3 linked regions of the Schizosaccharomyces pombe genome follow. The gene in region 2 interacts genetically with the main gene of each other region. Each region holds a gene or a part of one and is shown on either strand. Other genes may lie near its edges.

Region 1 (7,961 bases), on a different chromosome or scaffold from region 2:
TGGCAAGACCATGAAGGGGACCAGCAAGTCCATTTAAGGAGGCAGCCATCGACAAAAAGGGTGAAGAAAGAGCAGAACCTACCAAATGACCGGTGTGAGCAGATACATTACCACCTTCGTGGTCAGCATGGATGGTCAAATAAAGACGCATAAGCTCCACAAATTCCTCATTGTTAGCAAAGCCCAGAACATTAGCAAAATTGTACGAATGGTCCTTATCCATTTGAATAGGAGCAACAACACCATCACGGTACAAATTGCGGTAGATACGACCGGCAATTGGAACGGTCTTGGCAATCAAATCCATGCAGTCTTCATATTCATACTTCCAATAATCATGCTTGTTCATTCCACGCTCATATGCTTTAGCAAATGCAGAATCGTGCTCAAGTGCAGTAACAGCGAGAGAGAATTGGGCCATTGGATGAAGGGTAGGAGGGCAACGGTCAATGAGTTCTTCAACAAATTTGGGTAACTGAGAACGGGCGGCCCAGTCAGCGGAAAGCGCCTGCACTTGACTCAGAGTAGGAATTTCCCCGGTAACTAAAAGCCAGAACAAAGATTCAGGAAGAGGCTGTTTTCCGTTGGGAGAAGAAGGAAGTAATTTTTGGCATTCCGGGATAGTATAACCACGGAATCGGATACCCTCGTTAGGGTCTAAAACAGAGCCTTCCCATATTAAAGAACGAACCCCACGAGCACCACCATACATTTGATTGATAGTTACCTCACCAATGACATCTTGGCCATGTTCTGCGCGAAATTTTTTGATTTCTGCTTGTTTTTCAGGAATAAGCTCAGCTAACCGATCCTTTAAGGAAGAGGAACGAGTTGAGTAAGAAGATGTGAAAAGGGGGTTTAATTGACGGGAACGAAGCGACGCTTGAGAAAGTAACGACGAAGCAAGTCGTCGAGTACTAGCTAATCTTGTGTTTGTCATAAAACGAGGTGCGTTTAATATAATCATCCTAATAATTTAAAAGTTAGTAAAAAGTAAAACTTGGGAAATAAAAGAAGGCGTGAAATGCGGGAAAAGCTCCTTTGTAATAATATGAGAGAACGAAGGATATCAGATCAAGGAGATAGTGAAGGCCGATTCGCAAATTTAACAAACAGAAAAAAAGAAATAAGCAATAAGAATAGAAAGTCGGTTAATGATAATATCTAAGAGAACTATCGTGAAAAATAGAAAAAAAATTGACTATCAATAATCGCCAATGAGAAAAGTCACTTTAATTTCAAACAAGCTAAAGACGGGGTTTGTTATCAAAAATCAATAATTAATTTTCAATTCAACTAGTGTGCTTAATCTGAGCACACTCAGATGGGTCATAGATATAGACAGGAACCACAAATTTAGTAGCGTAGTCATTATCAATAACGGCATCTAATTTTAAATAGAAAAAAAAATTGAGCTTTTGAAGACCTTTTCTATCCTCTTCAAAGTAAGAGAAATGAACCCATTTTGAGTGAAAATTTGCATACGCTATGTATAGGATTGACCCCAAGATAAGCGCAGATGAAAAAAGTCCTAGCATTGGCAGACATGAATTAGAGCATCGAGTAAACTATATTTCCAACCAAAAATATAAGACTTTCTTTCAAGAAAACCGACATTTCGTAAGACCAAAAGGCCAACGAAACGCAAAATCAAAATTATCACAAAGGAGGATTTTCTAAACTATGCACTAGAGAATATCCTACTGCCTCTCGACAAGATCAAATCTCAAACACCTTTAGGCTTGCACTTACATGAAAAAGGGTATTACAATGCACCGATATTGGCTAAGGAAAGAATAATTGCTGGGATGGGGGACTATTTATTCGGTAAACCTGAGTACCATTAGCATGAACGGAGGGGAGGGTGCGACGTCAGTGCCCCATGATTCTGTCCATTCAACAACTAGCCAAAACCGAGGAGAGGAACAACCTTAGCATATAGACTCGCTTCTGATGTCGGTGAATACGAAATACAAAACCACTTAAAATTCAGTAAAGTGAAGAAGGTTTGTGGAGAATGACTTGGGCAACAAAGCCGAAATCCACCAAACAGTAAGAAAAAATTGTAATGAAGAAAGAAAGCCTTATTTATCACATATTTACTAATGAACTTTAGCCTACAACTTACAAACCCGTTGAAAAGTCAAATCTCACTTTTATGATTGGGACAGGCAACCTTGCATGGAAACCCGGTTCATCGTCGCAGGAAAAAATAATATTTTATTATTTAGATGTACTTTGATCAAAAATAAATTAAGGAGTAAGAAAATTTGAAAAGAGGCGTATCCGATGTTTCCATAATTGTTGAATGATACAAATTAGACTACATAGATTGATATTATATCCTTTCAACAATGAGAGAAACGAGATGGGTATGAATAAGTATTGATTTCCTACCAACAAACAATTTGTACATTTTATGCTTTGAAAACGTACTGATCTACATTACCATAGTGTCTTGTATTGTTGGCCTTGCAAGTGAAGTGCTATTTACTGTTACTATCAATAAACGCATCTTTGGTTCTTGGTTACCATACTTTGTGCTACAAATTTTATCTCTCATAAGTTTTTTTTCTTTTTTTTTTTTTTTTTTGAAATTTTAAATAGATAACAAGCCGAATTTCGAGAATTTGCTTGTCTTGATCAGGTAAAAAAGGGTAGTTGCTCCGATCGATCGAGCTAATGATATCAGTAAAGATCAAAATTTAGGAGAACTTCCGCGGTAGCGGATTTCTCAGTCAAACATAGTACTACAATAGATACAGAAAAGAATTGCTTAGCTATGCAAATATTTACTCAATGAACGTTGACTGAAGTAGCTTCATCTCTTGCATGTGCGTTACGGCAATGCATATGCATGTATCGGGAGTGAATAAATGAATAGAGATGTTGACAAGCGACAAGAAAATAATTTTTATAGGTAAGAAAGTTTTTGATAACTTTTTCTAACTGCTCAACCATTGCTATTGACGAAGTTTAGATGGATGTTTTTTTCTTAGGATTGCTAGTGGTAATCGCTATTTTCACTAACGCTAAGCGTTACAGCTCGTTTCGCTTTTTATTCCCATCCAAAAACTTGGACCCCAATGAGACAAAGTGGGGGTGGAATATTAGAATTGCGACTTTTAGATCGTTACTGAATACCATTCCAAGTATCCCACATTGGAGAACCATGTGGGGAACCGTTCGAGTTGGTATTGTACATACCCCGTCGGCCAAGGTAAGAGAGCGTGTAGACTGTAGTTACTACTTTTTGGCTAGAGGATTCAAAACTCAAAAATAGCTCTTAAAAATAAATATAGAAATGAATTAATTCAAAAACATATAATTTTTCTTCGGGATTCCTTTTTTTTACAACAACAGTCATTTCAAGTGCTTTGACTTGACAGACGCAACATAAATAAATAAATAGAACACTTTGATGCAAAGTATCGAATTCCAACATATCTCTCTAGACTGCTTTTCTATTAAAACCATGACTACTAGTGTTTCCATATAAAAATATAAAGAGATCCATCAACAACTAATACGTACATATTAGATTTTGCATTCCCAAATTGCTTCGTTATTTCACATACACCCATTTATTTAAAACGAGTTAAGAGTAACATCATTTGAAATCAACTGAAACATTTATATAAGCTGATTTTTCACAATCTTGCTATTTCACTAGTGTGGAACCTGGAGCTGCTTCATAGTTTTATACAATAGCATAACAAAACTCCAATAATCTCATTTATACTCTGACTCACCAAGTCGATGATGTGTATCTATTTAGGTTAAATTGATCAATTATATAATTGTTTCTCATATATTCCCTTACTTATCGTATTTATTATTTATTTATTTATTTTTATTTTTTGGAATATATACCGTCTAATTAATAATAACATGATTCTATCCACTACGTTATAAATAATGTTGGCTAAAAAAGTTTCTTTACGTAAAAAAAAAAAACAAAGTCAAATTGCTTTGCATACATGTGTCCAAAATTTACGATTATTGAGAATGATAGATAAAATCATAAATAAAAGTTTTGAAAGTGATGGAAGTTGCAATTTTCTTTCTTTATTGAAAACTTGTGCATCCATTTGTATTAGTAAACCAGCTTGGATTGTTAGGTAACTGTTACCCCAAGGGCATCTGGTCTATACGACTTGAGTGGTGCAAATATCCAAGTTGTACCTCATGTCTTCCAATCCGCTATAGCGAAGACGATGTTTGGTCGGAACGATTCTCTCCATTCATCGATTTTCTTCAGCTTCTTCTAGCAACGCTATATATATTCGTGCTCTCCGCCATCTGCCTCTTAAACACTCGTATATCGTTTATCCTTTCATTGACGGTATTCCTTTGCAGATATCGTAAACGAGTTTTCATAAAATTTAATCCTTTTTTGTTTATCTCTTACTTCCTTTGCCCATTTCCATCTCTTCACATAAATAAGTACGATGCCTCGTAGACGTTCTGCCGCACCTCCTCCTCGCCGTGCAGCTCCTGCCAGAAGTGCTTCCACTGCTGCTGCTTTACCTCCTAGGACAATGGCACCTCCTCCTGCTCCTAGTCGTGTGCAACAGGCTCCTCCTCCCACCGCCGTCCAAGGAGGCAGCTCACCTGGATTCTTCGGCAATCTGGTTAGTACAGCGGCTGGTGTTGGTATTGGAAGTGCTATCGGACACACGGTTGGCAGCGTCATAACAGGCGGTTTTTCTGGAAGTGGTTCCAACAATGCTCCAGCTGATACTAGTGTACCTCAATCTAGTTACAGCAACAGTGTTCCAGAAGCCGCTTATGGTTCAGCACCTCCATCCACCTTTGCCAGCAGTGCTATTTCTGAAGAGGCGAAGAATGCTTGCAAGGGCGATGCTAAAATGTTTGCAGATTGTATAAATGAGCATGAGTTCAGTCAATGTTCTTACTATTTGGAACAGCTAAAGGCTTGTCAGGCCATGTGGTCCAACCAACAATAAGAGGCAATGAACTAATTTATTTATTTTTCTATTAAATAAAAGTTATGCCCAGTTTGTTTGCATCAGCATCAGCATCGAAATTTTTTTTTTCATGTTTCTACTAACGAGAACGTTGAACCCTAATAGCATTTGTTAAGCAGTAAATAATAACTGGTTTCCCTGGTATAAGACATAGTATAAGAACGAGAAGAAATAAATCATATATGGTATTTTTTTTGTTTGGTTTAGTAATGAAGTTCTTTTTTTTTAAAATGGCCCAGTAATAAAAAAGTTCACGAAGAACGTAGTTAGAAAGCTTGATAAATAAATTAAATGAAATCTATGCTCTTTAGAAAGTTCTATGATCTGGCTTGGAGAAGAGTAGTACATAACAGTATGGTAATGTAGTTAGAGCTTCTCTTAACATGCGTACGTTTTCATACCTCTTAATAGTAGGGATGGTTCAGTTCATACAGCTACCTAGTTCACCCCATCAATCAATCAATCAATCGATACAGTCACTCTTCAAAGCATTTTGAGAGTTCTCCCACAGATTTTATGCTAGCTGGAGTTCCGACTTGTTTATTAAAGTAGGAAGGTTGGAAGCGAACCATATCTAACAAACTTTTTTCAAAACGAAAATTAAAAGCAAATTAAACTTTCATTGTCTTACGTCCCATGTTAGGGGGGGGAAGCAGCTAAACAATGATGATTTATAGATGGTTGCCTCGGCTATTATTTACTTTGTTTCATATCTGAAAGAAGAGTAAGGGATAGGATACGCCAAAGATCCACCATAAAACGGTTTATCAACAAAAGGATCATCATCGAATTTGGTTTATGAGTCTTTCAAATGTACTCGTGTTTGTTAGTTTAACATACTATTGCATCCACTAGAGATAGTTAAGAGAAGCTGATTTACAAATGATCGGTTTCGACATGTCTGCCAAGTTATACTTTTAACGTATTACCAAGAAAAAAAAATTTACGGGACGGGGATTCCATTCTTGCTGCTTTGGTTTATACTGTAAGCATAACAGCAATCTTAAATTGAATCGTCTTTGCCAAGCGCATTTGTAAGAGTATTGTATGCTATGCCACGCAGTGCATTTTCATATCCAACGCTACATACAATTTGTTGTTACTCTTTCTGTAGACCATTTCGGAACGTTGATTGAAGATCGGAAAATTTAATGTTTCGTCCAGAAATTGTCTGCATATGTAGTATCACAGAGAGTGTCAAGTCATATCTGACAGCATCAGGTTAATGAGCTTAATTTGGGCCAAAGGCGAGCTAGAAAAGAAGAAGAAAAAAAGAAAAAGTAAACAGTAAAGAAAAACATATAACGACTCTTATTCATCCTTCCTCAGCATTCCCTTTTTCATATTTTTATCCCATTCTAATCCTAGTCTAAGAAATGCTGGCGATATAGACCGAGTCTACTGGTGTCTGGAAAGGAACATAGCTATATCTATATATAGATATAGATATAGATATGTATGTATGCTTGTATTTCGTTGGCAGTTTTCTAGTTTAACTAGCAAAATACAAGAATTAAAATTAGTATTAGTATTATTATTATTATTTTTAAACATTTAAACATCGACTAATTTTTTCAACATCTGTTTTCACTTTCAAGTATCGACTACTTTCTACATTCCAACGATCCATTCTTTATTATAGATTCACCCTTTTCCTCGATAAATAAGCACCATTACACATACTTAAAATTTTTGTTTCAAAGGGAAGCTAAACTGTACGACGATGTTTATCGTTATACTCAGCTGTCACTTATCCAGAACTCACTCCATCAGAGTGCGTGCATTTAGCTTGCTCCCTGCACATCCCACTACAAAGTGTTAGAGATAGGCAATCGGAGTTAGAATACCGAGACTTTATTCCAAGGTAAAAACACATCTAGAAATGGGGACAAACAAAGAAACAAAAGGTCATGTGAATGTTAGATTCAAGGGGTAGAGTTCGATATCTCAGCAAGCGATTCCTTTTTTTTTTTTTTTTTTTTTTTTTGAGAAAACCTCGGTACACGCTAAGCTGGCTTTTCCTATTGTTACTCCTTTTACTACTAGTATTATACTATTGCTTTGCTTTGTTGAATAAACAGTCTATAGAACGCTCAAGAAAATACGACGAAAATAGTTTATTCATAGCTTGACAAACTAACTACCTTTGTTTTGTTTTGTTTTTTTCTTTTCTTTTTTTTTTCGTTTCTTAGCTTGGCTATAGCTTGCGTATTCTGTCTTTGTCAGTCATTAATCCAGACAGTAATATAACATATTCACCTTGTTCTTTTAAAGGTCTCCCTTTTTTTCTTTGTTGCTCATCTAGATTGTGCTTAATTTTTTTTTTGTATACTAATCAAAATTCAATTTATTTTTCTTTAGTTATTTATTTGTTTTTTTTTTCGCTTTATTGGATCCTATTGTAAAAAATCATCTTTTTCATTGTGCTTGCAATTTACCTTTCTTTGACGATTACGCCTTTGTTCACGACTTTTAGCATTCTTCCTTTTTCTATCTCCATGGGGCCGTTGTTAACTTACTCCTAAAATTTGTAGTTGCTTATCTTCACAACCAAAGGATGCTTCGGTGCAGCACCCAATTTTTAGCCCATTACCCTGTGCCCAATTCTCAATGTCTCATCATTTGTCAATACTAGCTTGTTCCTTATACTCCCTGTAACCCACTATCTAAGACATTGTGGAGAGGGAAATGTTGGCAGTAGTGATATACTTCCGAATGGACAATTGCCTATCAATCGTGGTAAAGGAGAATGGCTAGAATTTAGTAAAATGATATGGCCCAAATAGAACGGTAAAATTACTAAAAGATTGAGGATTTGAGGCAGCGTCTTGGTCGTTTGACTAATTATTAGAGTGTAAGCAGGATTCGGATGTATTGCTCCTTTAGTTAATCATATCGTCTGGTTTTGCTCCCTAATGTCCCTTGTCCTCTTTTATGCCGCCTACATTACCGATGAAGAACACGTGTTGA
Region 2 (8,468 bases):
TTTACATTATTTAAAGATGCCCAAATAAATCTAGCGCACTCTTAAGTCTGAAATAAAAAAAAAATAAAATAAAATTCATGAACAGCGATATAGAAAACAAGTTTCAATGAGCGAAAACAAATTTGAACATGCCTCTAAAAACCATTACTTGATGCCACGTCTCCATGAAAACAGACATTCATAGTGAGAAGAATTCCTCAAACATCGTCTTTATCATGCTCTAATAATTATAAAACCATTTGGCAAAAACAAATATTATAATCTCAGTATACTTTGATAAACAGATTGTCATTATATTTACACTAAAAATAAAACTATTGAACCCAGCCATCAATGGGATATTTATACTGTTGGCTCTACGAATTGTTTTACAGTACACCGTAAATTTATTAAACAAATCATGTAGTATTGCAAACTTTGGGTACGTATCTAAACTAATCAAATATAAACTTTTTTTAATTAAAAATGTCTGGGAGACAATCCCATCCTTGACCCATGGAAAAAAGTCAACGACCGGGAAAGCCACTCAATTCTTCGCTGAAGACGGAACGGATGCATTTTCTTGGTCCGGAGACTCCAACCATCATACTTGACTTCAGGATTGATTTTACTTTACTTATATAACAAAGTAAGTTAAAACCTACTGATGATGGTGAATCATCAACTGAACAGACCCTATATATAGTAAATTTGTTGTGACGGTTTTTACCTTAGGTTAGGGTATTAGAAACGATGTTCTGGAGACTAAGTAAAATTTCATATGTAAACAATGGCTGAAAAGAGAAACTTGTGAAATGACTATGAGTTTTGGCTGATTTTAATTTATATGATTAGCTAGCTTTAATAGCACGTAGTCAGACTTTTGGGTACTTGTCGTGGAAACTTTAACATGCTAACTTGATAAATTATTCGATAACAGTACAATTCAAATCGTGTCTCTTATTTCTTTTAACCTCATCATAGCAATTTACTGATTTTAATTTAAAATATTTATTAAATATAGTTGTGAATTAAAAAAAAAAAATTCCCAGATGAGTACTTTCTTTCTAATGTTATTTATTTTGATATACTGAGGAATTTGTATACCGCATTGCCTTAAAATGCATGCCAACAGTGGTCTAGCTCGTTATTCGTCTCGACTTTTTTTTGGAATAATGCTTGCGTTTGCTAAGTATTTTGAGGAGGCAATTAATATCAGTATATCAATTATAAGAGAGGAATTTAGTATAATTGGAGTATATTTGCACGTTTTGAGTTGTTGATCGTAATCTTATTACTTCAGATGTTTTCATAGCGACTTCTGGTACCCATTGTATATTTATAATTATTGTAACAGTTTTTAACATTGCATTCTTTTTTTTTCTTGCTAAAGTAAATTCATCAAAATTTAGAGGTATTTCTATGAAAGATCTATCCATATCATGTAAATTTTTGTGTTGCCTACATAATCGAGCATCCAAACCTTGGTTGTCGGATACACCTTAATTAATCGGGGCACAGAAGAAATTGAAAAAAACAATAAGCAAAATAATTAAATTTTATGAACCGCAGTCTTAACAGTCATTATTATTAACCTGCTACTTCAAATGCGGTTTTGTTAATGACAGTAAAAAATACAAACACTTCAAAGTATTCAAAGATGAAATTTTCGGTGTGCATAAGCGTAAATAATCACAAAACTGAGAACAAACAGGTCATCAGTAAAAAAAGGCAAAATTTAGCCTTTAGGAAACTTTTTCTCTCTTTTTTTTGAACAAACGGATAACATCAGGGATTCGATATCTAGCAATAATAAAATAGTAACGTAGAAAACATTAACTAATAATAAATATACAAAAGATGTGTTGAGGCAAAGTCTTTCAATTCAATCAAATTAAATTGGTTTATTCCTAGGAGCGATATGATTTTTTTGGATTTCACGATTTTCTTTATCATTCTCCTCATGCTCTGGTGGATGGTGAATGTCACGAAGCCTTCGTAGTACAGGAGGTATAACATAATCTTTAACTGTGTCTGCCCAAATCATGTCCAAGTGTTCATAGCTATCAACCTTAACATGCTCCACCTCCGCAGGCAAAGCATTCAACATCGCTTGGATATCAACGAGTGAGTCGCTGCCTCCCCAAATAAGATAAATAGGGGTGCGAATATTATTTGTAGGGAATTTGGCAGCTTTGTAATATTTGAGGAAATAGTCATGACCAAGCTGGTCATTATCATACATTCTAAATTCTGCGCTTCTCATGATTTGAAACCAATGCACAAGGCACTTTACACTAGTATATGAATACAAATGGGCGAATGAAACCAAGCGTTGATAGGAAGAAATGTTTTGGCAAGACCAGTTAAATAACTGAGACAAACAGTATGCAAGGACTGCATCAAAAAATTTTGGAGCTGGATAAAAATGTCAGTGAAATTATTAAAAGAAAAAAACCGTACCTAAAAAGCTTTGCCAGAATCCGGCAGACGGCAAAATAGATTTTCGTCCGAAAAGGAAAAATAATATGGAAGGTCTGGCTTTTACAAAGGCATCTACAACTCTGTTATGTAAACCTTTTGGACTAATTGCAGGTGCTAACGCTATCAAAGAGTTGATTTTGTCATTCAACAGGGGATGGATACTCAAAGAAGCAAAAGCTTGAGCAGTGCCCTGAGAAAATCCTATATAAGTGAGCTTTGTTTGCCCAGAAGTTTTTAGAATATAGTCAATGGTATCGGGAATATCGTATTGAGCAAAATCGTCAATGCTAAAGTCCCAAAATTCCTTGTCAGTAGAGTCGAAGCGAAGATGTTGACGACTGTATTTATTTCCTCGATTATTTCCGAGCTTAAGCACAATTAGTAAATAATTTTTAAAAAAGAAAACTCGAACGAAAACCATATTAACTTTACCAGTAACTAATTATTTAAAATATGATAAATTGAACGCAGCAAAATACTTACCCAAACATCGTATCCTTTATTTACGAGATCAAATACTAGGCAATTTCTGGGGTCTACATTACAAACCCAGACTTCCGAATTCATCAAAAGACCGTGATGACAGTAAACGACCGGAAGCTTTTTGGGATGAGGAGAACCAATTCTTCCAGGGGAATCCTTCGATATCCTATGAATACAAAGTATGTAATCATCCTCTGTTCTAACGAGATGGTCCTCAACATAATACCCAGAAATTTTGCACATTTCTCGTATGTCAGCTGCATCGTGAATTGCCTTTGCCCTTTGAAGGCTAACGCTTCTCGACCTTGATCTTTTCTTTGAACGTTTTTTAATCTCATTTCGAACTACTGATCGATAAAACAAGCCTAGCGTATTGTGAATCATGAAGGCCAGGCATGAAAGTAATTTTTCAAAGATTACAAAGAAAAACCCCAAAAATAGGGCCATATACTCTTCCCTTTATTTGTCAGTTAATATATTAAAAGATTTGCATACCATTTTAGACGCTGAATAAACGGTAACTGAATCATTTCGCATATTGCGTGGAATGGAGGTACTAAACCTTGCCCTCTGCCAAACAACTATTTTTGGGGGGACTTTTGAAATTGGTTTAAAAGCAATAGCCTTTTAAATTTATTTTAGTATTTTGCAAACAGAGATAAATATTTTGTTTGTTTTCTATTTTTTTACAAGGTTGTCGGTCTATAAGTTCGATTTTGTTAACAAAGCCTTGGGTCATAATTTTGAACAGAATTTGCCCACCGTTTGATAGTTTCATTTCCGACAAGCTAACAACTACTTTTAAGGCTATGAGTTCACTAAGCGATCAATTATCTTCGTTTAAAAAGAAAGTCGCAAATCAACCTATTTATGCAAAACCTCAACCTCGTCAACCAGCTTCTCCGACTCCAACAGCTTATTTGAATTCAAATGATGGACATTCTTCTGCCGCTTCAAGTCCAGGGTCGTATTCCCTGAAGAAAAAGCGCTCAAAGACGTCTTTGGTTTACTCGCAACCCGCTGATTCTGGTGTTGGAACGCATTATTTATCACAGCTACACTATGCAGTTGAGTATTTAAAAGAGAGAAATGAGCCTAAAACGGCTGAGGAAATTGCTTCTTACCTGTCAACTCCATTGACTCCTATGTTACTCAATCTTTTGAAGAAAAATAATCGCATTTATTATGATGAAAGAAATGAAACGTTTACCTTTAAGCCATTGCATAACATTCGCTCAGGAGCAGGTTTATTAGCATATTTAGATTCACAAAAAACCCACGTTGGTATGAGTATCAAAGAGCTTCGAGACGGATGGCCCAACGTTACTGTTGAACTTGAAGAACTAGAAAAACAGGGAGAAGTGCTTTTATTACGTACAAGGAAGGATGGCGTTCCTAAAATGGTATGGAGAAATGACAAGAGCTGCGATTGTCATGTCGATAAGGAGTTTCAACAAGTTTGGCATGAGATTCCCATTCCACCCACTTTGGATTTAGCTTCTGAACTTGGAAAATACGGTTTAAAGCCCACTAGCGTGGATCCTTCAACCGTAAAGCGTGCTGGTCATAATCAAACGCCTAAACAAAAGAAGCCCAAAACTCGACGTGGAAAGATTACGAATACACACCTTAACATTCTTCGTGATTATAGCTCCATGAAACCTTGAAATCATATTAAGGATCCCATATTTTTTAACTAAAAACTGTGTTGCTTTTGGTATTTAATTTCATCCGGTTACTGTGTTGTTGTCTGGTACTGGATGTGTTTGAAAAAATAGCTATCTATCTTACATTCCTTTTTCCAAGATTTGCATGGACTGGACATATTTCCTCTTTGTTTCTTCTAATCTATTTGCAACTATGGAAGAAAACTCTATTGTTTAATGATGATGATTTTTTACATAAACTGTTAAACCTATATTAGCTGACAATTAGTCGGTATTGTTGACAAGTGCATTTATTGCTCTGTAGTTAATTTGCACTAGTATACAGTGACTAAGTAGACAATTACATTTAGTTTAAACAGAAATTCTTATCTTTCCCTTTTGTGCATTGTCGAAATAGAAAGATCAGTTATGTATTGAAAGGTGTGTTTATGTAGGTGAATGTTTTGTGGAAAGGAAAAAAAACGTATTTCTTCACTCATGCTAATAAATTGATTTCATTAGCATGCATTTTTGTAACGAAAAAATAAATTAATATTAGCTCCCGGCGGGACTCGAACCCGCAATCCCTTGATTAGAAGTCAAATGCCCTAGCCATTAGGCCACGGGAGCTAGTTAGTAGAACGTTATATTATGTATATTTTATATATAAATTTATAATTTATCACCATTTTTATCCTATACTGCTAACTCTAAAAGATGTAGAAATATATGGTAATTCGTAAATATAAGAAAGCAGAGTGCATGACTAAATAGAAGATCGATGTTGGTCACTTCAGTGCTTTCCTTTAAATACGTTTGCATTTTCGAGACAATAAAATTGAAACACCCGAGCATTTTGAGTCTCAGCTTACAACTGTTATAAATTATTAAGAAAGGAATCCAAGGTTTTGCAGAATTTCCATATGTGCTTCATTACTTTCTGCACGCTACAATCTCTATGATTTTTTAACTATATAGTGCCTTCAATTTTTGTCATTTACCATTAAAAGATATTTATTTTTTTACCCAAAAATTACTAATGAAATAAAACCTTTTGAACACAGCCAATGTAAGCAATGACATATCCCCTAAAACTTTAACAATTTCCCATCCTAATTTGCTTTTTTTTCTGCTCCTGTTTTGTACATTTACCACTTTTTTACGCAGATGTATTAAGTACGCATAAAGCTCAAAATACCCGAACAGTAGCCCACCAAATCTAAAAGACGCTGATTTTCTTCTTTATGAACACTTTCCCATGCCTTCAAACTTTCAAAAACAGGTACCGTATCTTCGGGAGTATCATGCATTAGTAATACGTCCTCGTGTGACTTCGTAAAGACGGACATACAAGCTTGGACGAGCTCGAAATCTCTTCTTTTAGAAAGCCTTCGTGTCATAATATTGATAAATAATATAAATTCTTCATAAGGCGGGTATGCATCCAATGACCGAATCTCCAAATCGATCTTTGCTGGCCCGAGGGATTTTAAGTACTCGAAAAACGCATCATCATCGTTTCCATGTAATAAAGTAGAAAACTCGGTGCCGGATACTTTTATGGAGGCAACAGCAGTCGGCTTTGAAATCTCAGTTGCTATAGGCTGCTTGGGCACTGTCGCTTCTGATTGATCCTTTAAGGAAGGCAAGAAAAACGGTGCTTTCTCGGGTACTTTGGGTACTTCCTTGGGAGCATTACGAGCCTTAATTGCTTCTAGATTAATCAAAGTTTGCCATTGAGTGCGTGGGAGTTTGCTAAGAGTTTGCAAGTTGGGATCGAGTTGATCCATCGTCCGATATGATATATCTTCTTCATCTTCAGCATTAGACTCGACATTTAGAGCGGCCTCTACCACAGATATTCCTTTTTCACCAGATACGGAAGGAGCTGAAACTTCAACAACATCATCAAGGCGAAGTGCCTTTGTAGAAACGTGTTTGAACATTGAAAGGTTCGTCCATAAGCTAATTCCCACCTGGTCCACATGCGTTGTTGCCAGATAATCACCAGTTGGTGCAAATGTCAAACTTGTGCATACACTGGGTGTAGAAATTGAATCAATTAAGTGACCAGTGGGTAGATCCCATGTGCGAATTGTTCCATCTAAAGATGCAGTAACAAGCCATCTGCCAGTATCGGAAAAATCAAAGCTGGTGAGACGATTCGAATGACCCCATAATTCACGAACAATCTTCCTTGTTTGTACGTCAACAATGCGAATGCCGAAATCGTCACAAGCGACAGCAACGAGGTCTGATGAATGTTGATAAATCGCATGAGTAATGGAACTTCCAACGTCTAATGAATCTATTAAGTTTCCTTTGTTGAAATCCCAAAATTTTAAAATCCCGTCCAGCGATGCAGTTACAAGAATGCGATTTACATTGTCCAACATAACTGCAGTGACTGGTTTGCCTGATAGAGAGCTTTGTCCAAATGATTTCCTTTTGATACCACTTTGCATGTTATAAACATCTACAACGCCTTTAGAGCTACCAATCAAACCAAAATTACCACAACAACTTACACAAACAGACCGTACTGACGTACCGTCACTAGTTGGTAAAACGTGTTGACCCAATGTTTTAGATTTCCAGTTCCAAGTGCGAGCAGAACTATCATTTTTGTGGGCAGTTAGAACATTATCCCAATATTTTTCACGAGTATTTGAAGAAGATAGGGCAGTTATCTCGGGTAATTTTAATTCTTCCGGGCGAACATTAAGTTTCTTTGCCTTTGAAATAACAGAGCCTTGAGATAGTTCGGTTGATTGTGAGTCTTGGTATAAACTAACTGCTCTTAATGACCGATCAGTTGCAGCCGAAATCAAGAAGTGCACACTTTTCCCATAAAACTTAACAAATGAAGGTGGCTCGTAATGACCATTACGAGAACGTAGGATTCTAGGAGCACCATCCATTGAATCAAAGATCCATTCTTTAAGAGAGTTATCTGGACCAGCAGTTACTAATATGGGCTGCCCGTTAAGAAACTGTATCTTTGGAAGTGACCCAAAATGAGCATTATATGTAACATTTTGAATTCTTCGCTTTGAAAGATCCCAAAAAGAAAGGTCACCAATGGGGTTGGAAGAAGCTAATATTGGTGTCCCATCAGTACGGAATGAACATGAAAGAACTTGGCCATCTTGTTTGAATTCCATGAGTATTGAACCATTTTTAAGATTAAAGATTACAATACGACCACTAATAGTACCAACAGCTAAAACATCGAGGACAGGGGCTTGTGTTAAACTAGTGATTCCATCACCAAAAAATTCCTGAAATTCATGTACACGTTTAGAAACACGCAAATTCCAAATCTGTAATGCTCCATCTGAGAATCCTAGCAGTATTTTGTTCAAATAAGTGCTTGGATGTAGTAAACTAGTGATATCTGCATTGGTATTAGGAAGAAATGTAGTATGAAGCTCAGGAACACTATATTTAGAAGCGTGTTTCCATACATAAACATGACGAGAAGATGTACAAGCAATAATCCACTCACCAAAAGCATCTAAATGAGTGACTGTTCCATGTTCTTGCTCCACATCAATGTCCCATATTATTTTACCACGTTTATATGCAAAAATTTTTGATCCGGCAGCTACAAGCATGAAATCTTTAAAGGATTTTAAACAAGTAATTTCCTTGTCTAATTGCTTGCCAACGAAAAGCAAATTCAACTTTTCGCAGTCATATGTTTGAAATGTGTTTCCCACCGACGTTGTTACCAAAAAATGGGTTCCACGAGCCTCAATGTCGAAAGGTACTGCATTGGAAACGTGACCGATGGATCTAAAGGCTAAAAATACAGTTAGCAATCTGTTCATTCCAAAAGAAAAAGAGAGAATTTTGACTTACGAGCATAGATCC
Region 3 (9,396 bases), 1.8 Mb from region 2:
TTGTGATGTAACTTTTTTGATCAGTCAGCCAAATTCATCGTCTTACTAATTTTTTGAGCGTACACGTTAACTCAACGAATGCGGCCAGTGACTCTTTAATCCGCTACGAATACTCAAACAAACAAACAAACAACCTCCCAAATATGCATTTAATAGTTCAAATCCCTTTTTTCGTTCTCTCAAATATGTCTACCGCCCATTCACACTTCCTTGACATTCTGTCCCGGTAATACCTAGCGTTCCTTCAATACCTCTTAACGACCTTTTTTCCCGTTCATATGTATTACGTAGTCCAGCGACACACTAAACCTGCTTTTTAACGTTGTAACAATTTCTTCCTTATCCTTATTTCTTATTCCGACCTTATCATGCGGTATTTCGACAATATGAGAAAAGATGAGTAATGATCATCAAATATCTTATCATCGCTTCAGAGTGATGCGAGATTGATCGATTACATATGTAAACAAGCACCGATCTATCACACTATATATATGCGAGCACTCGGACTCTTAAGGTTCAACAGTCATTACATACCTTTATTATTTCCCCAGCATCTTTAGTTTGGTAAAAAAAAACCGAGCGTCGTTGTTGGGTTTCACTTGCTTTTTTGTTTGTTTGTTTACCAACGCACACTTTATTATACACACTCTCTCATTCACGTATTTACTTAAAGCCTTTTCAAACATATCACAGTGACTGTTTGTTTATTTTTTTTCCACAACGCTCATCTAGTTTTGAATCAGCTTACTTAAATCATATCTCTCCCTTGAAGACGGACTATTCTTAGGTTGCTTTAAGGTTTGGTTAATTTGACAAATAGTGATTCTATTTATTTCTATTTGTTTCATTTCGCTTTCTCTTGATTCTTTCATTTTGCGGACTAGGCTCTTTTTCTTCTTTTTAAATTATCCTCTGCCGCATTTTTATATCCTCCTATACTGTGTCGTATTGCGTAGAAAATCAATACAGACTTACTTGTAACGTTAACTCAATAAGTTATCGAACCACGCCTTTCGTTCTCTTTTCCTTGTTAGTTTACTCACTCGATGGATTTGGATTTTTGCACAGTGTGTGGAGCCACCACTCAGGATGGCAGTTTGTACTGCTCTTCTGAATGCCATCTTTTGGATTTCACCAAGTTGGACACTCAAACCACATCTAATATCTCTGTATCCTCCGAATATCAATTTCTCGTCTCAGAACATCTAGCTCATTTCCATCGCAAATCAATGACTTCCGCCGATTTCCCTACACCACGGTTCAGTGCTTACACAAAACTACATGCGTAGTCTACTTAGAATCGGTTTATGGGTAAGGTACCCAGATTACAAGTATTCAACGCTGTATTAATTGCACATCTTTCTTTCCTTTGCTTCTCTTTTTCAAAGAAGTCCTTGTATCAATATTGCACAGGACGCGCTTTCTTCCAAGCAGGAATAATGTGCACGTGGTTCAATTCGTTGTTATGAGTTATGAATGTATGTATGGTTTTAATGGTTTGGCAATGTCGATAATTGGTCTTTTTCTTTTCGTTACGTTACGGTTCGTTTATTTATTTCTTCTTTTCCCTATTCTTAATATAAGTGCTTGTACATTATTATCACCTAACATAATGATGCTTAAACATTGTTATGGGATATGAGGATGTACACATTATTGTTATTGTATCGTTTCGTGGGTTTGTTTATATTTTTTATTTGCAAAGCTGATAACGGAACATGCAAAGATTAAGACAAGCGTTTTTCTGTTTATTTTCTCTGGATGCGTTTAAATGGCTTTAGTATTCTTCACCAGCAATTTAATCCGCGGTCATACTCTGCTTTTCATTTGATTTAGTAATTAAGAATACATCTTTTCACAATGCATGAAATTGTAAATGCCCTTGTTTTCTTAGGTCTATATACGTTGTATCGCAAAGGTAGAGAACGTAATGGATTAGTGGCCATGAGAACAATCTTCGATAACAGTAGCAATGAATTGATTCCCAAGTCGAGATACAACTTGTGTTGCCTAACACTGTGATTCAACGATTTAGTATTGTGCACGAACATGATATAAAAGATCCACATCTTTCCTTACTAGTAAATATCATGTACCAAAATTCTTATGGCGCATCAAAATATTCATTATTTTTATCCTGTCCATTCACACAATATACAAAAATAAAGGGTAGACAACTTCTGCCATCAGTCATTAGGGAATAATACAGTTATTCGTTATATTATTTACCGCACCCAACTTAGGTTGTGAACCCTTTGTTTTCAGAACAAAAAGCCGATTCATGTCCATTTGTCAGTTTACCAAATTAGTAATCATTGAATAAATTTCCAATTCACTAAAAAATCTAATTAATTTCCCCAATTGCTCATTCTATCGTGAACTGTTTCTTAAGTCTCTTTTACTGTTGATCCTTATCACTAAAATATGAAACAAAATAACAAAAAGCCATTACCATCAAAAACCAAAGAAATTTCGCTTGAAACAGATTGGATAGATGTAATTGAAACGATGAGAGAGACAAATGAGTCACCTAAATCTCAAAATCCTTCTGAAGAAGCAACTACTGTAAACGAACTATCTTGTGAAGCCAAACCCAAGCTCTTGTTCACTCCTACAAAGTCCTCCCTATCAATTGGTAATTTTCCTTACAAAGAATTTGATCCAGTACTTAAATTTCCTGGTATTCACTATACTTACAGTCGTGAACGACTATGGGGCACTTGTGTTATCTTATCAACGTTATTCTGGTCATACTATGTACTTTCAAATTCTGAATTACTTGAATTCGAAGCTTCAGAATATTCCCTACTTTTTATTTTGATTATAGCATTGGACGCATTGCTTACAGTTTCTTTGTTTGGTAAGCTATAACACTGGACTTTGTCCACGTTATCATTTCTAGTCTCTAATGAATGAATAGGTTTATTTCATCATTTAATGTTCCTGACAACCAACTATTCATATACCATTAATTCTACGCTAGATATTTCTAAGGGCTTCTTCATCAATGTTTTGAGCACTATGGTTCAAGCACTTGTGACGGTAACAATTGCTTTCACTAAGTTTGTTACCATTGACTTCCCAATTTGTACGTTTCCTAAGACATAAGTGAATTTCTAACCGTACTTTTAGACGTTTTCTCTTCTCTGTTCTTATATCATCCACTATCTCGCTCACGCCAACTTCCAACTAAAATGCAGTTGGACGGATCGGGTGAACGAAAAACCGATTCTTCGTTAGTGCATCAAAATCCTCCGAATTAGCTAATTATCATCATGTTATTGAGGTTCTGTTTAATATAGCATTAAAGGGTGCACGGCTATTACATGCATGCATCATGTGCATCCATATTTTTTCTTAGACTGTTGAGGGAATCTCGAGTAATTCATGTCATTTGATTTACAAATATTGGACATGACTGAAATACCAATGTAATTGTGTTTAACTGACTGGAATTAAATGTTTCCGATGTCCTTTTTACTTATCTCTTTTTCTGTTTTCTTTAATTTAATTTTTTCCTCATGGACAGCATTATGACAGCTTTTAGCGCTGTATTTGCTTTGCTTACGACTTTCTCGTCTTGTTTATGAGTTCCGTTATTCCGCGGATGATTGTTTCGCATTTCCATCCGAACTTGTAAACGTATGTACAACTACTAACTCTTGCTTTGAATTTCAAGTGGGTATACCTTTTTCAAGGCGGCTTGCATTGTCTTTTTTTATGCATGCACAACTACTTTTATCGTTTTCAACCTGAGACGACAATTTCATAGAAATGACATAACTGATTTTTGCTTTTTAAAACTAACTAGTCTTTTAACATGTTTTTACTTTCAACCAAGTCTACTGCTACAGCATGATCCAATTCCTTAAACAAAGTTCAAACGTTTTGAAACCTTCAACATCAAACCTGTTCAAAACCTCTCCAAACACATGGTACCCAAATCCATCGCACTTAAATCGGAACCGGCAATAAAAAGTAGATACCTTTGCTGGTTTATCTCACAAATCTATCCTACAGTATTGACTTTAAGCGACTTTGGGAGTTAGCTCCCGTTATCTTGGGTGCGCAGCACCTTTTTGTCACTCATGGTCCGTGCTTTATCAATTTACCTTCTTTGATAGCACAGCGTTCATACTTTGAGGCATAGTTATATCTATAGGGATGGAAGCAGATTATCGAAATGATACGCTATGGGGGGACAGTCACATGGAACGAATTTGATATTTAAAGTTGAAATTGCGCATTTATAAGCAACTGTGTATTGCAACTGCTGAGTGGTTGAACAAGAATCGCTAGCCTCCACTTTAATTAAGTCATTGTAATTTTACTGCTTCTTGAAGTCAAAATAGTCATTGAATCATAAAAACAATTATTTGCTTTCTCTTTCATTTTAATTTCTTGAGCGTGTGTGCAAAAGTTACGATTTCAAGAAAGTGATAAAATTAGCCACAGCGAATCGTCAGTGTCTCTTGTCGGGCTTTTCAAAAGTGTTTCAATCTAGTTTTTAATTTGACCTAATCTAACAAACCCCCCCCCCTTTTATCTAAACCAATTCCTATTGCGAATTCTAATATACGACTTACTAAAGTTATCAACAAAGTGTGTTTATTTTCATTTTGTCAATATGCGTGCCTTTCGCCTTGCTTCCGGTGTTTTGAGAAATCGAAAAGTCATTTTAGGTATTGGTGCTGGTTCGTTAATAACAGCTGGCAATATTAAGATTCGCAATGACAGCAAATTCGATGCGTTTTTTGCCAAAGGATTTCCTGATGAATTGCAGCACCGTTCTCTCTTCAGCGTCCTCCGTAGTGCCTTTGTCTATGAAATTTGTTCTCGAGCTTGGCTAGTGAAGCTATCGCTAGGTGCGATGAGTTTATGCGACGTCTTCCATCTATCATTTTTATACAATCCGTTTTGCCGCTATACATTTTACAAACATTTCTGTGGTGGCGAGACGCCTCAGGCTGTCATGGCTACGATGGATACGTTGCAAGCAGCAGGTATTACCTCTTGTTTGAATTACTCTCGTGAAGTTGACTTGGACGGCGATATGGATGTAAATAAGATCGCTTCTCAAGGGGTAGTACCTCCTCAGGTTCCTGTTCCTTCTGAGAAGAACCAGAAAGTGTTACGACAAATTGCGGACAAGGCTTTTGAATCAAACATGCACATCATTGATATGGCAACCTATAAGCCTGGAACTGTTTGCGCTGTTAAGCTTACCCCATTCATTAATCCTCTGGTTTTACAACGATACAACTCCATTTTGAACCAGTATCCGGTAGAATCAGCGTGTAACTATTTGGAGCATCTGAAGTCTCCTGAATTATCAACTTATGAAGTTAGCGAATTAAAGAAATTTTGGGAGTATGCCGACAAACTGTGTCAATTTGCAAAAGAGAAACAAATCCCACTCTTTATTGATGCTGAGCAAACTTATTTCCAAGATTGCATGCATGCCGTCACAGTTGACTTAATGAGAAAATACAATAAGGAGGTTGCAATCGTTCATAATACTTATCAGTTGTATTTGAAGAAATCTAGAAAAATTATGGACGACCACATCAAGAAATGTGTTGCTGAGGGCTGGCTAATGGGCGCAAAACTCGTTCGTGGTGCTTATTTGAACTCGGAACCAAGATTCTTAATTCACGACACAAAAGCCGAGACAGACAAAGATTTTGATTCAGCTGTGGAAGCTATAATTGCCGCAGCTGCCAAATTTGCTCCAGGTGACCCTGCCTCTGCTTCTGACCCGATTGCCTCTCGTAAAGGAAAATGGGGAATTATGGTTGCTAGTCACAATAAGAAAACAATGTTTGAATCGGTGAATTTGGCAGAAACCAAAAAAGTTGACTTTACGAAAACCTCTTTCTATTTGGCTCAATTGTTGGGTATGGCTGATGATATTACCTATGCTTTGGCTTATTCTCAGCGCAATCAACAGCCCAATTTTTGCATTGTAAAATATGTTTCTTGTGGACCTATCAGTGAAGTCCTTCCTTACTTAGTACGCAGGGCACGTGAGAATATTGATGCTCTTGATAGATGTAAAGAGGAACGAGCCTACTACCGACAAGCTCTTCGTCGTCGTATATTTTAATGTTCTCCGCTCCCTTGACCGGGGTTTGGTACTTATAATTGAAAGAAAGCAAAAGGCGTTTTATTCGATTCACTATACGAAGCTTCAAGTCTGCTGTAACATTGTTAAATTATACTCATTATTGGTACATATGATTTGTGAAGAGAATATCGTCGCTCGTTTTTTTTCACGTCAACCTTCCTTCGTTATCTTCATATAGTCACGGTTAAGTCTATAATGTAATAAATACCCAATTCAAAGGCCGTACTTTATCTCCTTTATTCATACATTCAATATTTAAGGACGTTGTCTACGCTTATATGAGTTTTCTCATACCATCGTTAATATATTCCTTTCATGAAATTTCAAACTAGTAATTTGCGGCGAAATCATATAATGTTTACTTTCCAAGTACCAAGTAAGTGCCCCAATCTGTTTAAAAAGTCAAACCTGTCATATATCAATTGTTTTACTATTGTCAAGGAACTAAGACATTGAAATCAGCTGAATCAGCGCTTAGTATTTAACTGTCAAAATTTATATATTTCTCAAAATGACAATATACACAATAAGGCTCTTCTAAAATAACAGTTATCTTTCCGAATTTATAGACCTAAACTTTTTTATTCATACTTTCTTATTAAGGAGTAGATTACTCGAAACTTACATTTAGAAAAGTCCTAATTATGGACTACTTGAATTGATAATTAAACTATTTTCTTTAAAACGCCTTCAAATTTTTAGAAACGATAAAAAACCATCATTTATTCCAGCATTTTGCTGTAAATAGCTACATAAATATAAAGGCTCAAAGTTCGGCGTTATTGCTCTCGGTTCCAAGCATAGATAGTATCATCTTATTAATTTACTAATTGCGTGATAACCTCAAAATTCTGAGGGTACAAAAAACAAATGTCTTTGAAATCAATGAAAATCAAATGTGGTGGATGGTGCGTAGAAAGTCGCCTACAATTGAGTTTCGGCGACTAAACGTAATTCATCTACTCGACACACCCAGTTTCCGTCACTCACTTTCTCCCATCTCCCACTCCATTAGTAGGATCGAGCAAATCTTTATTTGGAAATTTCCTTCTCTTTTATCATAAAAAAGATGTACAAGTATTGTTTCAGGAAACCAGCTTGCATTTCATATCGTGGTATTCGTTTCATGTCGAAGGCTAGCGATACCGATCCAACATTGGCAAACGCCTCTTCAGCCAAGCGAAGCGCATTTGAATCCCGTGAAAAGGCTAAAGAGGATTTTTTTGTTCATCAACATGAAATTGAGCAACTTCGAAAATTGAAGGAAAGCCTCAAACTTCATCGTGAAGAACTTGATGAATTGGAATCCCGCGTTGATAAGAAAATGAAGAGTAATGAATAACTCTAATGCTTAAGCATGTTCTTTCATGAAATCGACCTCAAGCGTAATGATTGTTGGCAATATAGCGAAACAATGATTTTTTATGTGGCTGCTTACCATAATAAGTGCATTGTGCAATAAGCAGCTGTTTCTGTTATAACAAAAGATATCATTACGGCTTTTGGATATGCCACCCCCTTTACAACTCCCTTCTCTTCAAATAGCCGAGTCTTTCTGCGAACCCTGCTTTTTTCGATTATCTATCGGTTCCGATTACTTATCATAGTTAATAAAATTGAATGCTATTTTTTAAGGCCTCATTAAAATATGTTTATAAACAATGTGTTAAAAAACGCATATTTCTGTAAGATCTGAAAGTTTGTTCGGATTGATGCTTAATTTTTCAATTTCGCATGTTGTAGTTTAATTAATTAAACTTAGGCAATCAGCATATTTCCTTAAATTCCAGCTGTCTCTCCCTGCTGTAAATTGCGATACTGCCAATGATCAATATTAAAACCCCTCGCGATTTTCTTTTGTTTCATAGTCCTGCTTATTTCATCTTCACCCTGCAAATCATTATCCAGAAAAAAAGGTTGTGTAATTGATTAATGTTGGATTGCTTTTACTGACCGTGAAATCATATCATGCAAGCAGTATTGTTATGCTAACTCCTTTGGTATTCAAACATTGTTTACAGAAATCGTTAGTTCCAAAATGTTTTAGCTTATGCAATGGTGCTACTTAATTAAGTAATAACTATTTCTTCAGAACACGTAGATAAAAATTCCTGCTAGTATAATGATGAATCATATTTATTATATACGCTTGAAAGCAGTTCTTATTTATTTACACATTATCTTATAAATAACGAAAATCAACAATATGGTAAAAATTCGATGGGTGTAGTAGATTGGCAGGAAAAGCTTCATGTAAAATACACCTATCGGGCTGGATGGCACGATTAATGATGAGAATTATAAAAAAAAAACCGGTAATTGTAGCAATCCATGCAAATTTAAACAGACACAAATAAAGAAGAAATATTCATCCATCCAAGCTAATTTACACAAACAACGTCTCCACAGGTAGCGTTGAAGAAAAGTAGGAAAGGAAATCGGCACCTAATAATAAACAGATGCCGAATCTGCACCAGCATCATTTAGGAAACTTTCAAAGTCAAAATCATTTAACATTTCAACATTACTGTCGGTTTTAGAAGAAAAGCCGAATGCATTTCCAGCACTATCGTTAAACAAAGCATCATCTTCGAGTTTAGAAATTGGCTTTGCCGCCGTAGGTTCATTCTTCGCATTTGAATCCAAAGCGGATGTATCGCCGCCACTTTTCTCTTTGCTTTTAGAGGCATCCACCATAGACGATGAATTAACGCTGTTAGATTGCATTTGTAGAGACTGAGTAGTATCTTGTGAAATGGAATTAGTTCCTCCTGTCGGTTCTGGAGCTCTAGATGCATTAGGGCTTGTTTTTGCCCCTGGAGAAGCATGTGCAGAGGGAGAATCTTTCATTATCTCAGAGAAAGTCGATCGTTCGGTTGTGCGTATAGTATTGTCGGCGACACCCATTGTAGCTATTCCACTTTTTCCTGGTTGCGCATGTAAGGAAGAAAACGAAGAAGAATCCTTCGCACCAGGTGCATTCAATGAGCTAGTATCAAATGACTGCGGCATCATCCAAGATGTTCTACTTTGTGGAAATGCAGGATTTGTCAATTCTTCCTTATTCAATGGCATTCCGGTCACTTCTTTATTTTGAGTTAGTCCATCTGGTTTATTAGATACAGGCTGATTGAGCTGTTGTTGCTGAGAAACAAAAGGTGACATTGAGCGACTTAACTTTTCTGCTTGTGGAGCAGAAGGTGAGAACTGTTGATGTGGCGAATATGATAAGCCCTCGCCATTTCGATTTGTCGGTTGGATAGTCC

Evidence for each region. Genes that interact genetically often act in the same process or in processes that back each other up.
Region 1: mutations in tfa2 (region 2) and mix17 together harm fitness less than expected from each alone (positive genetic interaction), as found in Schizosaccharomyces pombe (one large-scale study listed by BioGRID).
Region 3: mutations in tfa2 (region 2) and put1 together harm fitness less than expected from each alone (positive genetic interaction), as found in Schizosaccharomyces pombe (one large-scale study listed by BioGRID).

The regions. Positions count from the first base shown.
Region 1 is NC_003424.3:2,321,654-2,329,614, reverse strand, and holds mix17 (CHCH domain-containing protein), read left to right. Parts: upstream 1-4,311; 5' UTR 4,312-4,451; coding exon 4,452-4,970; 3' UTR 4,971-5,134; downstream 5,135-7,961. Other genes in the region: citrate synthase Cit1, read right to left, coding at 1-968, 1,753-1,754; SPOM_SPAC6C3.03C (uncharacterized protein), read left to right, coding at 2,981-3,283.
Region 2 is NC_003421.2:575,601-584,068, reverse strand, and holds tfa2 (transcription factor TFIIE subunit Tfa2), read left to right. Parts: upstream 1-3,511; 5' UTR 3,512-3,755; coding exon 3,756-4,613; 3' UTR 4,614-4,849; downstream 4,850-8,468. Other genes in the region: SPOM_SPCC1672.09 (triglyceride lipase-cholesterol esterase), read right to left, coding at 1,874-2,397, 2,443-2,830, 2,947-3,403, 3,442-3,476; U3 snoRNP-associated protein Utp21, read right to left, coding at 5,765-8,397, 8,457-8,468. UniProt on the Schizosaccharomyces pombe protein: Recruits TFIIH to the initiation complex and stimulates the RNA polymerase II C-terminal domain kinase and DNA-dependent ATPase activities of TFIIH. Both TFIIH and TFIIE are required for promoter clearance by RNA polymerase.
Region 3 is NC_003421.2:2,347,441-2,356,836, reverse strand, and holds put1 (proline dehydrogenase), read left to right. Parts: upstream 1-4,258; 5' UTR 4,259-4,630; coding exon 4,631-6,109; 3' UTR 6,110-6,569; downstream 6,570-9,396. Other genes in the region: extender of chronological lifespan protein Ecl1, read left to right, coding at 1,050-1,292; SPOM_SPCC70.04C (uncharacterized protein), read left to right, coding at 2,428-2,863, 2,924-3,091, 3,136-3,266; inh1 (ATPase inhibitor), read left to right, coding at 7,200-7,472; transcription factor Adn3, read right to left, coding at 8,576-9,396.